Arabidopsis thaliana: one gene and its partner. The protein of the gene in region 1 interacts with the protein of each later gene in a biochemical or structural test. Each region holds a gene or a part of one and is shown on either strand. Other genes may lie near its edges.

Evidence for each region. Proteins that work in one complex are often made in the same cells at the same time.
Region 2: the proteins of BTI1 (region 1) and RAB8 form a complex in vitro, tested with the Arabidopsis thaliana proteins (one study listed by BioGRID).

Annotation. Positions count from the first base shown.
Region 1 is NC_003075.7:12,315,080-12,318,833, forward strand, and holds the start of BTI1 (VIRB2-interacting protein 1), read left to right. Parts: upstream 1-1,956; 5' UTR 1,957-2,082; intron 2,083-2,093; exon of another isoform or gene 2,094-2,296; intron 2,297-2,494; 5' UTR 2,495-2,990; coding exon 2,991-3,255; intron 3,256-3,661; coding exon 3,662-3,754. Other genes in the region: AT4G23620 (Ribosomal protein L25/Gln-tRNA synthetase, anti-codon-binding domain-containing protein), read right to left, coding at 1-175, 894-1,023, 1,116-1,580. UniProt on the Arabidopsis thaliana protein: Plays a role in the Agrobacterium-mediated plant transformation via its interaction with VirB2, the major component of the T-pilus.
Region 2 is NC_003074.8:19,877,076-19,880,829, forward strand, and holds the start of RAB8 (RAB GTPase homolog 8), read right to left. Parts: upstream 1,718-3,754; 5' UTR 1,620-1,717; coding exon of another isoform or gene 1,467-1,619; 5' UTR 1,315-1,466; exon of another isoform or gene 1,192-1,314; 5' UTR 1,190-1,191; coding exon 1,117-1,189; intron 689-1,116; coding exon 616-688; intron 528-615; coding exon 427-527; intron 326-426; coding exon 260-325; intron 107-259; coding exon 9-106; intron 1-8. Other genes in the region: AT3G53611 (uncharacterized protein), read left to right, coding at 1,467-1,619. UniProt on the Arabidopsis thaliana protein: Involved in membrane trafficking from the Golgi to the plasma membrane.

The sequences.
Region 1 (3,754 bases):
ACAATGGGTTCGTCTTTGGACTTTATAAGCTTTAAAGCCGGATGAACCTTGAGGTCTCCCATTACTAGCTTTTGTCCGATATCCAATTGGCTTAGATCTACTTCTATATATGGTGGGATAATCTCTGCTGGGCATAGGAACTTTACTGTTCTTTTAATCGTATTCAGAGATGCTCCTGCCAAAAGATTAAGAAATAGTGATCAATATCAAAATCTAACAGGAAACTAGATGCTGCGATCTACAAAATTGGGTAGAGAGTAGCCAGAGAAATGAAACTTCAAAATCCCAAAAATGGGTAGCCAGAGGAAGATACAAGCCATTATAAGATGTATAATGCAAACATAGATTTCTTTTAAATCGAGTTAAAATTTTGTAAAACATCAACCATAACGTCACTTGAAGTGATGATTACTTGCTATCGACTAAGCTTAGCTCAGTCTGATCCAAGAAAGGGTAACTGAAACCCGAGCAGTATCACTTCTCTACAGATTAGAAGCTCAATGAGCTCCAATGACGTCAAGAATATATGTGTGGCCTTAACTACTTCAGGAGTTAGAAACCGTTGTATTAATCCTGCATTTAGCATATCTACTCAAGCGTACAGGACTATTCGTTCACAGCAATCAGAAGTCAAAAACCACATGTTTGATCACTATCTCTCTTCCAAATCTTTAACCACATTTCTCATCTATTTTGTTCATTGCCTATGATTCGAGAAAAGAAAATGCTATCCAGAAACTCATACTAAGAACAGTGATTCCTATGTAAGCACCTTAACAAACTCATGTATATACTCCTCTATTCTCAAATGCTTATCAAAATGCTTCCTTTATTTTCTTTTTGATTCCTCACTAAAGATCCCAATTATAAAAAACTAGCAAAGGGTTTATTACCTTTCTTCAATCCAGGAGAAACATCATCTCCAATGAACACAAGAGGGATATCAACTTTCAACAAAGCACCTGGAGGCGCTCTTATGAATGTCACATTCAGTGGAGCATCAGTCCCAGAGTGCAAATGAATCTGAAATCACATAGCATAACATTTCTAAAAACTCAATACATAAACCAATAATCCAAACACACCACTAAACCAAACATTGAAAAAATGCAAACTTTAATCAATTTCATGAGTGAGAGAAATGGAGACTTTACCGCTCTAGGCAAGGCTCTGACTTTCTCAATAACCTCATCAGAACCAATCTCAGCTCGAACCTCAACATCAAAGAGCCTAGAGAGGAAAAAAGAGTAACCCAAATGATTCACAAGCTTCCTGATCTGATTCGTCTGAACTGAAATAAGCCTCTTGTTTCCTCCGTGTTGTCCATCCTCTTGTTCGAATATGATCGAAGGAACCCGACCCGCTTTACGCTCTTTCGCTGATATGCTCTTGCCGGAGACAGACCTTGGAACGGCTAAGATCGTCTCTGCGTGTTTTGGATCGGGTCGAGGGAATCCAGGGAGGTAAGTTAATTGGGTTTCTTGGATATGATCTAGGGATAGAGCTGCGTTCGCCGCCGGAGAGAATAACCGGAGGTTTTGTAGGGTTTTGGGTAGTGTTTTTGCACGACGGAGCAACATTGTTTGCTTTTTACCAGTGAGAGAGAGAGACGACGACGAAGTGAGCAAATGGGTTTAGGAGCTGTGTTACAGAAATGGGGTTTCTCTAATAAAACGACGTCGTCGTTTCTAGATTATTCAATGGGCTTTAAATGTTATGGGCTTTAACTTAGCTCAACCCATTATAACTGCATTTGATTTGAACAAAGGGCAAAAGTCAGATGCTTAATTCAACGGATATTCCATTTGTTGTTTTTGTAAATGACCAATTTGCTCTTAATGTATACCACAAAGGCTTTAGTGGAATATATTATGGTAAGGGTGAAGTCGTCTGAACAAAAAATATGACTCCATTTAAGTAGCTCGTCTTGTTCTCTCGACAAAGAAAAAAAATTACATTTCTCAGACGTTGCAGTACCTAAAATATTTTTTCATCATGCCATTACCCTATCATTTGTTTTATTATTTGTGTTGTGTTCTCTCATGGAGCTTCTACTATTTCACTTTGTCTTCCATGTACAAGGTAATTGTCTGAGTTATTCGAAACACAATACATCGGTTTGAGCATTTTTGTGTACTTCATTATTTATGGACCATAACTTGAGGTTTCAGTTTGTTTCCGAGCATCTTTTTGTAATGGGCCCATGAGAGAACTGATACTGGGCTTGATCAGATTGATGTCCATTATTTGTGCTTTATTGGGCTCCACTCTTTCTCACTCTCACATTTTTTACAAGGTTTTCTCTTCTTTTTTTTACACCTATTTTCACTTTTCTATGTGTTTTGTTTTACACCTATTATTATATTTTTCTTTGCCTATTATCGTTATTTTCTTTGCCGACTATCATTTTTTTCTAGACGTTATATACTGTTTTAGAATATTACGTTTATTATAATATTAAGAATTTGTTTGATTGTGTCCTTTTTTGACGCAGACAGAAAGAACGTGACGCATGTACGAATGGCTGAATCTTCCTCCACGTGTCCTGCAATTAAAAAAATTAGATCGTACCGCATCATGCGTCAGCCGCGTGACACCTGATCATAACCTAGTTACTTAGCTCAGACATCGCCACGTATACGTCCCTCATGACGGGAAACGTTAACTCTGACGGCGTCACATGTCGACCATTCGTTTTGTGAAATGTATTTTGTGTTCCCATTTGGCTTTTTGCCTTTTTCCCCAAGGTTTGGCTCTAATTAAGTAAACGAACCTGTAGCTTCGGAAGTTCGTATCCGAACCAACCAACGGCTCAGATTAGTTTCATATTTTCAACGGCTGAGATTAGAGTTTCGATTTCTTTCTTCTATTTTAGGCTTCGAGATCTTTTCTTCTCAAAAGGTAAAAACTTTGGGAAGCAGCTAAAATACTGTGTTCTTTGTTTCTTCCATCGAAATCGAAAAAAGCTAAGATCTTTGCGTTTTGAAACGATGGCGGAAGAACATAAGCATGATGAATCTGTGATCGCTCCTGAGCCAGCTGTTGAGGTTGTGGAGAGAGAATCGTTGATGGATAAGATATCGGAGAAGATCCATCACGGTGGTGATTCTTCTTCGTCTTCTTCATCTTCTGATGATGAAGACGAGAAGAAGAAGACTAAGAAGCCCTCTTCTCCTTCGTCTTCTATGAAATCGAAAGTTTACCGCTTGTTCGGACGAGAGCAGCCTGTTCATAAGGTTCTCGGCGGTGGAAAGCGTAAGTTTTTCTCCGATCTGGTTTTACTTTCATATATTTGTGTGTGTTGTGGCTTGATCTGTTTTCTTATATGTGTTGTTTGGTTTATTCTTTCATTTTGATGGATTAGGTTTCATTGATATGTGTGATTTGAATCTGCACTTGTTTAGGGTTTCTATTTTACTCGTTGATCTGAATCGATCCATCGTGTCCATTTGTATTATTGGGGTTCTTTATTTTGGCATTTGTGAGGGTTTAATTAGGGATTCCATTTCTAAATGAATGTTTTGATCATAAAAATGGGTTTTTGACATAATCTCGATATAGAAACCTTACAGTATCAAGTTCCATGTTTTTCTAATGTGGTTGATTTAGATGACAGTATGTTGTAATGTTTGCTCAACTTGATTATTCTTCCTATTTGCAGCGGCTGATATATTCATGTGGAAGAACAAGAAGATGTCTGGTGGTGTACTTGGTGGTGCTACAGCTGCTTGGGTTGTGTTTGAATTGATGGAGT
Region 2 (3,754 bases), on another chromosome or scaffold:
GAAGAGACTCTTTTGCTTTCATCCATATCTGCTTTGTTCCCAACTAGAATCTTGTTGACACTATCAGAAGCATGCTGCTCAATGTTACGGATCCAATTCCTGATGTCTGGAATTGAAGAAAACAAAGGATGAAAAAGAACAAATTAGTTGAGTAGAAAATAATAAAGCTAGCAAATGGAAAAATATAAAGTTTAGAACCGTTGCAAGAGCTTGTTGGGTGGCATAAGGACTGCAAGTAAAAAGTAAAGAGAGTACTTACTGTTGAAAGATGATTCATCAGTCACATCATACACAAGCAAAATCCCCATGGCTCCACGGTAGTACGCTGCAATAAGAACAAACTACTCAGGTGTATTCCAGCGAGGAAGGCAAAGATGCATAAATAACAGCAAAAAGAGAAAACGAAAAGCAAGATCGAAAACACACCAGTTGTGATTGTGCGGAACCGCTCCTGTCCGGCAGTATCCCAGATTTGCAGCTTAATTCTCTTCCCATCGAGCTCAATAGTCCGTATCTTAAAATCAATCCTGTCAAAAACAAAAAGCAACTTGAGTAAGAACAGTGAACTACATAGAGGACGTGATAACACAGTGTCATTGCATGAAGACATCATACCCAATAGTTGTAATGAAACTGGTGGTAAACGAGCCATCTGAGAAACGTAAGAGAAGGCAACTCTTACCAACACCTGGTACATGAAAGAAAGCAAAAGTCAGATAAAACAGAGACATTAGAATAATCCACTGGAACATAGTGAAACACTTACTTACAACAATCAACAAAGGAATATTCAAATCAATTTGGCTAAAGCATTTGCGGCATTAACATCTAGAGAATATAATTAAATAGCTACAGCATTCATTTGTGATTCTCCTCCATCCTAATACCAAACTAAGAAGACTATGAACATCATATGCTCACAATTGTTGAAATGAGATCCAAATCTGAGTAAGATGTGTTACTCAAATCACTGTTGTCTCAAGATCCTTCAAACAAAACTTAAATTGTAATCAACAACAACAAAAATCGAGAGAATCAATCAACAAAAAGATAGAGATTGAATAAAATGCAGGGAACAAAAGGTAGTATTACGATCTGAATGATATAGAAACCTACCGCTGTCTCCGATCAGCAGAAGTTTAATGAGGTAATCGTAATCAGCACGAGCTCTAGCAGGAGGAGCAGCCATTTCTTAACAAAATCAAGTAATTTCCGAGAAACGGATCACTGGTAAGCAAAGAGAGCAAAAACTGGAGACAAAATTTAAATCGAGAATCAATTGTGTAGAACCTAAAAATCGAAAGAAGGAAGTACCAAATCTACTCGGGGAAGATAGATCGTCGGAAGCAAGCAAGACAGTAACCAGACGGCCGTTGAATTTTTTTCTTCCCCCGATTGGCTTTTTTCGGAGATTCAGAAGTTTTTTTTTTTTTTTTGGTTAGAGAGAAGAGGGAGAAGGAGAGGGAATGGATCTGGACCGTTGGATCTTGTTCGTGGAGATCTGTGTTGGTCCGGCGCGTGGTCTTCGGTTACGGTTTGATAAATTTCGAACCATGGGCCTTGGGCTAGTTTTATTTTTGTGTGCTAAATTTATGATTTGGTGTCCACTAAATGTTTAGTTTATTCTTACTGATCCAACCCAACAGGTTACAGAATTGATGAAGTATATTCATACAGTATATGTATTTTTCTATATTTCGTTCTGAGTTGCGTTGCGATTAAGCTCTGGGAAAAAAAAAGTTGTTTCAATCCCTTCACTTGTAAATAAACTCAATTATTTAACTCCAAGGGGACGCAAAGGTTAGGCAAAATAATAATAATAATAATAAGAGTTAGGCAAAAAGAGAGCGATTGACAAATTGAGGAAATTTGAATATATTGTCGTCGGTGTTAAGCAAATAATCATCCAAAGAATAAAGCGTGGATAGGAATCTACAATGATCCTACGTAGCATCTAATGTACTGCATGAGCATTCGTTTACTCAACCCCATCCACCGATCATCCGCTGCGGACAAGTCCACATCTTCACTTCTTCACGACCAATGAGGTAATGCCACGACGAAAGCCTTTCCTAAAATTACACGATCCATTTCCTTTTCTAAATGGATACGAAGAGTGTTTCCATTGACATTAAAGGAAAGCTAACTTTACTTAAAATATCGTCCTTGAGGTAACAAAAAAGTTTAAGCCCCTATACTGTCTTATTTAATGTTTTTTTTTTACTCTTACACTATTTAGTTCTATGTTAATCCAAATTTATCCAATTATTTCCGATATCTAACTATTATCCAAAAAAATTAGGGAATGACACGACACGACGTAAGCCTTTCCTAAATTATACGATCTAGTTTCCTTTTCTAAATGGATACGAAGAGTGATTCCATTGACATTAAAGGAAAAAGTTAAAGCATACATTCTCAGATTTGTTTTGAATGTAGACTGCAATTATTACGTTAATGTGATCGTCTTATTAATGCTTTTAACTCCAATTTACAATGAGATTCATGTTTATCCAATTTTATCCCAATCTCATTAAACTCTTACCATACAAAAAGTCAGAAAGATTATCCAAAACCTTCCGATATGAAAATGGTAATTATTTGAAATGCACGTGTATATTTATCATAAAAATTAATCATAAAACGGTGCTTACGGTGATGGTAATTGGTGACTTGTATCAATCAATGCCAGTAACCGATTATAATACGAGTTCAAATACCAAAAAAAAAAAGAGCTGTAAACAACAAAAATCCATATAATATCTAATACTTTTAAAAGTATAAATCTAATAATTTAAAATAATAATAAGTTAGTAATTTATTTTAAACTCCTAATATCAAAATAGTATAGAAATCCTATACTATCATAGGAATCCTAAAAGTATAAATTATTTTAAATTCTACTAATTTAATAGTTACCAGCTGAAAAAAAAAATAAAAAAAATAAAAAAATAATAGTTACCAAAATTACTATCATAGACAATCCATGCATTTTTGCATGAATCCTAATACTATATAAAATACGATAAACACCCATATTTATCATTTTACACATCTTTTTGTTTGAATTATCCATATACATTATGTATAGAAAGAAAATAAAAACGAATATTCACTTGACAGATTAACATATGCTTTTCTTTTGATTGCAGTTTGTAATCCACCGACAGAGAAATTGCGATGTCATAAATCTGAACACGAATTTTCGGTGCACTCGCCAACACCTGATCTCAACTCTCTCCAGCATATTCCCCAAATTAACAGTAGCTAACGGAGACTTAACGTGGACTCCTCGCAATCCGAGTCACTTTAACGTGTATCAGACAGCCAAACCTTACGTTGACCCCACCGCCGTTAGGAATTCCGTCTATGTCTCTTTTTCCATCATCCAATAAAATCTTGCCACATTGACACTTTCGGGTCCGGACATATTCCAAAATTAAAGAGAATTTAATTTATTGTTTTCCTTCCAGAAAAATATTAATATTCTTTCTAAACTAAAAAATGGAGTCTTCAAATAGCACAGAAGCAGAGACATAGAGCGGGAACGCGTTTAGTCACAGCTTTCTTCTCCTTTAGCTTTTCTCTCTACACTTGCTTCTCTCTCTCTCTCCTTTGGGTTATCCTTCTTGAGATCTGTGCTTGCGTTTCTTCTTCATTCGACGACACTTTATCTCGGGAGATTTCAGATTTGTCGATTTGTTCAGGTACGGATTTCGAAATGTTCTTTCAATCGGATTTGTTCTTCCTCGGA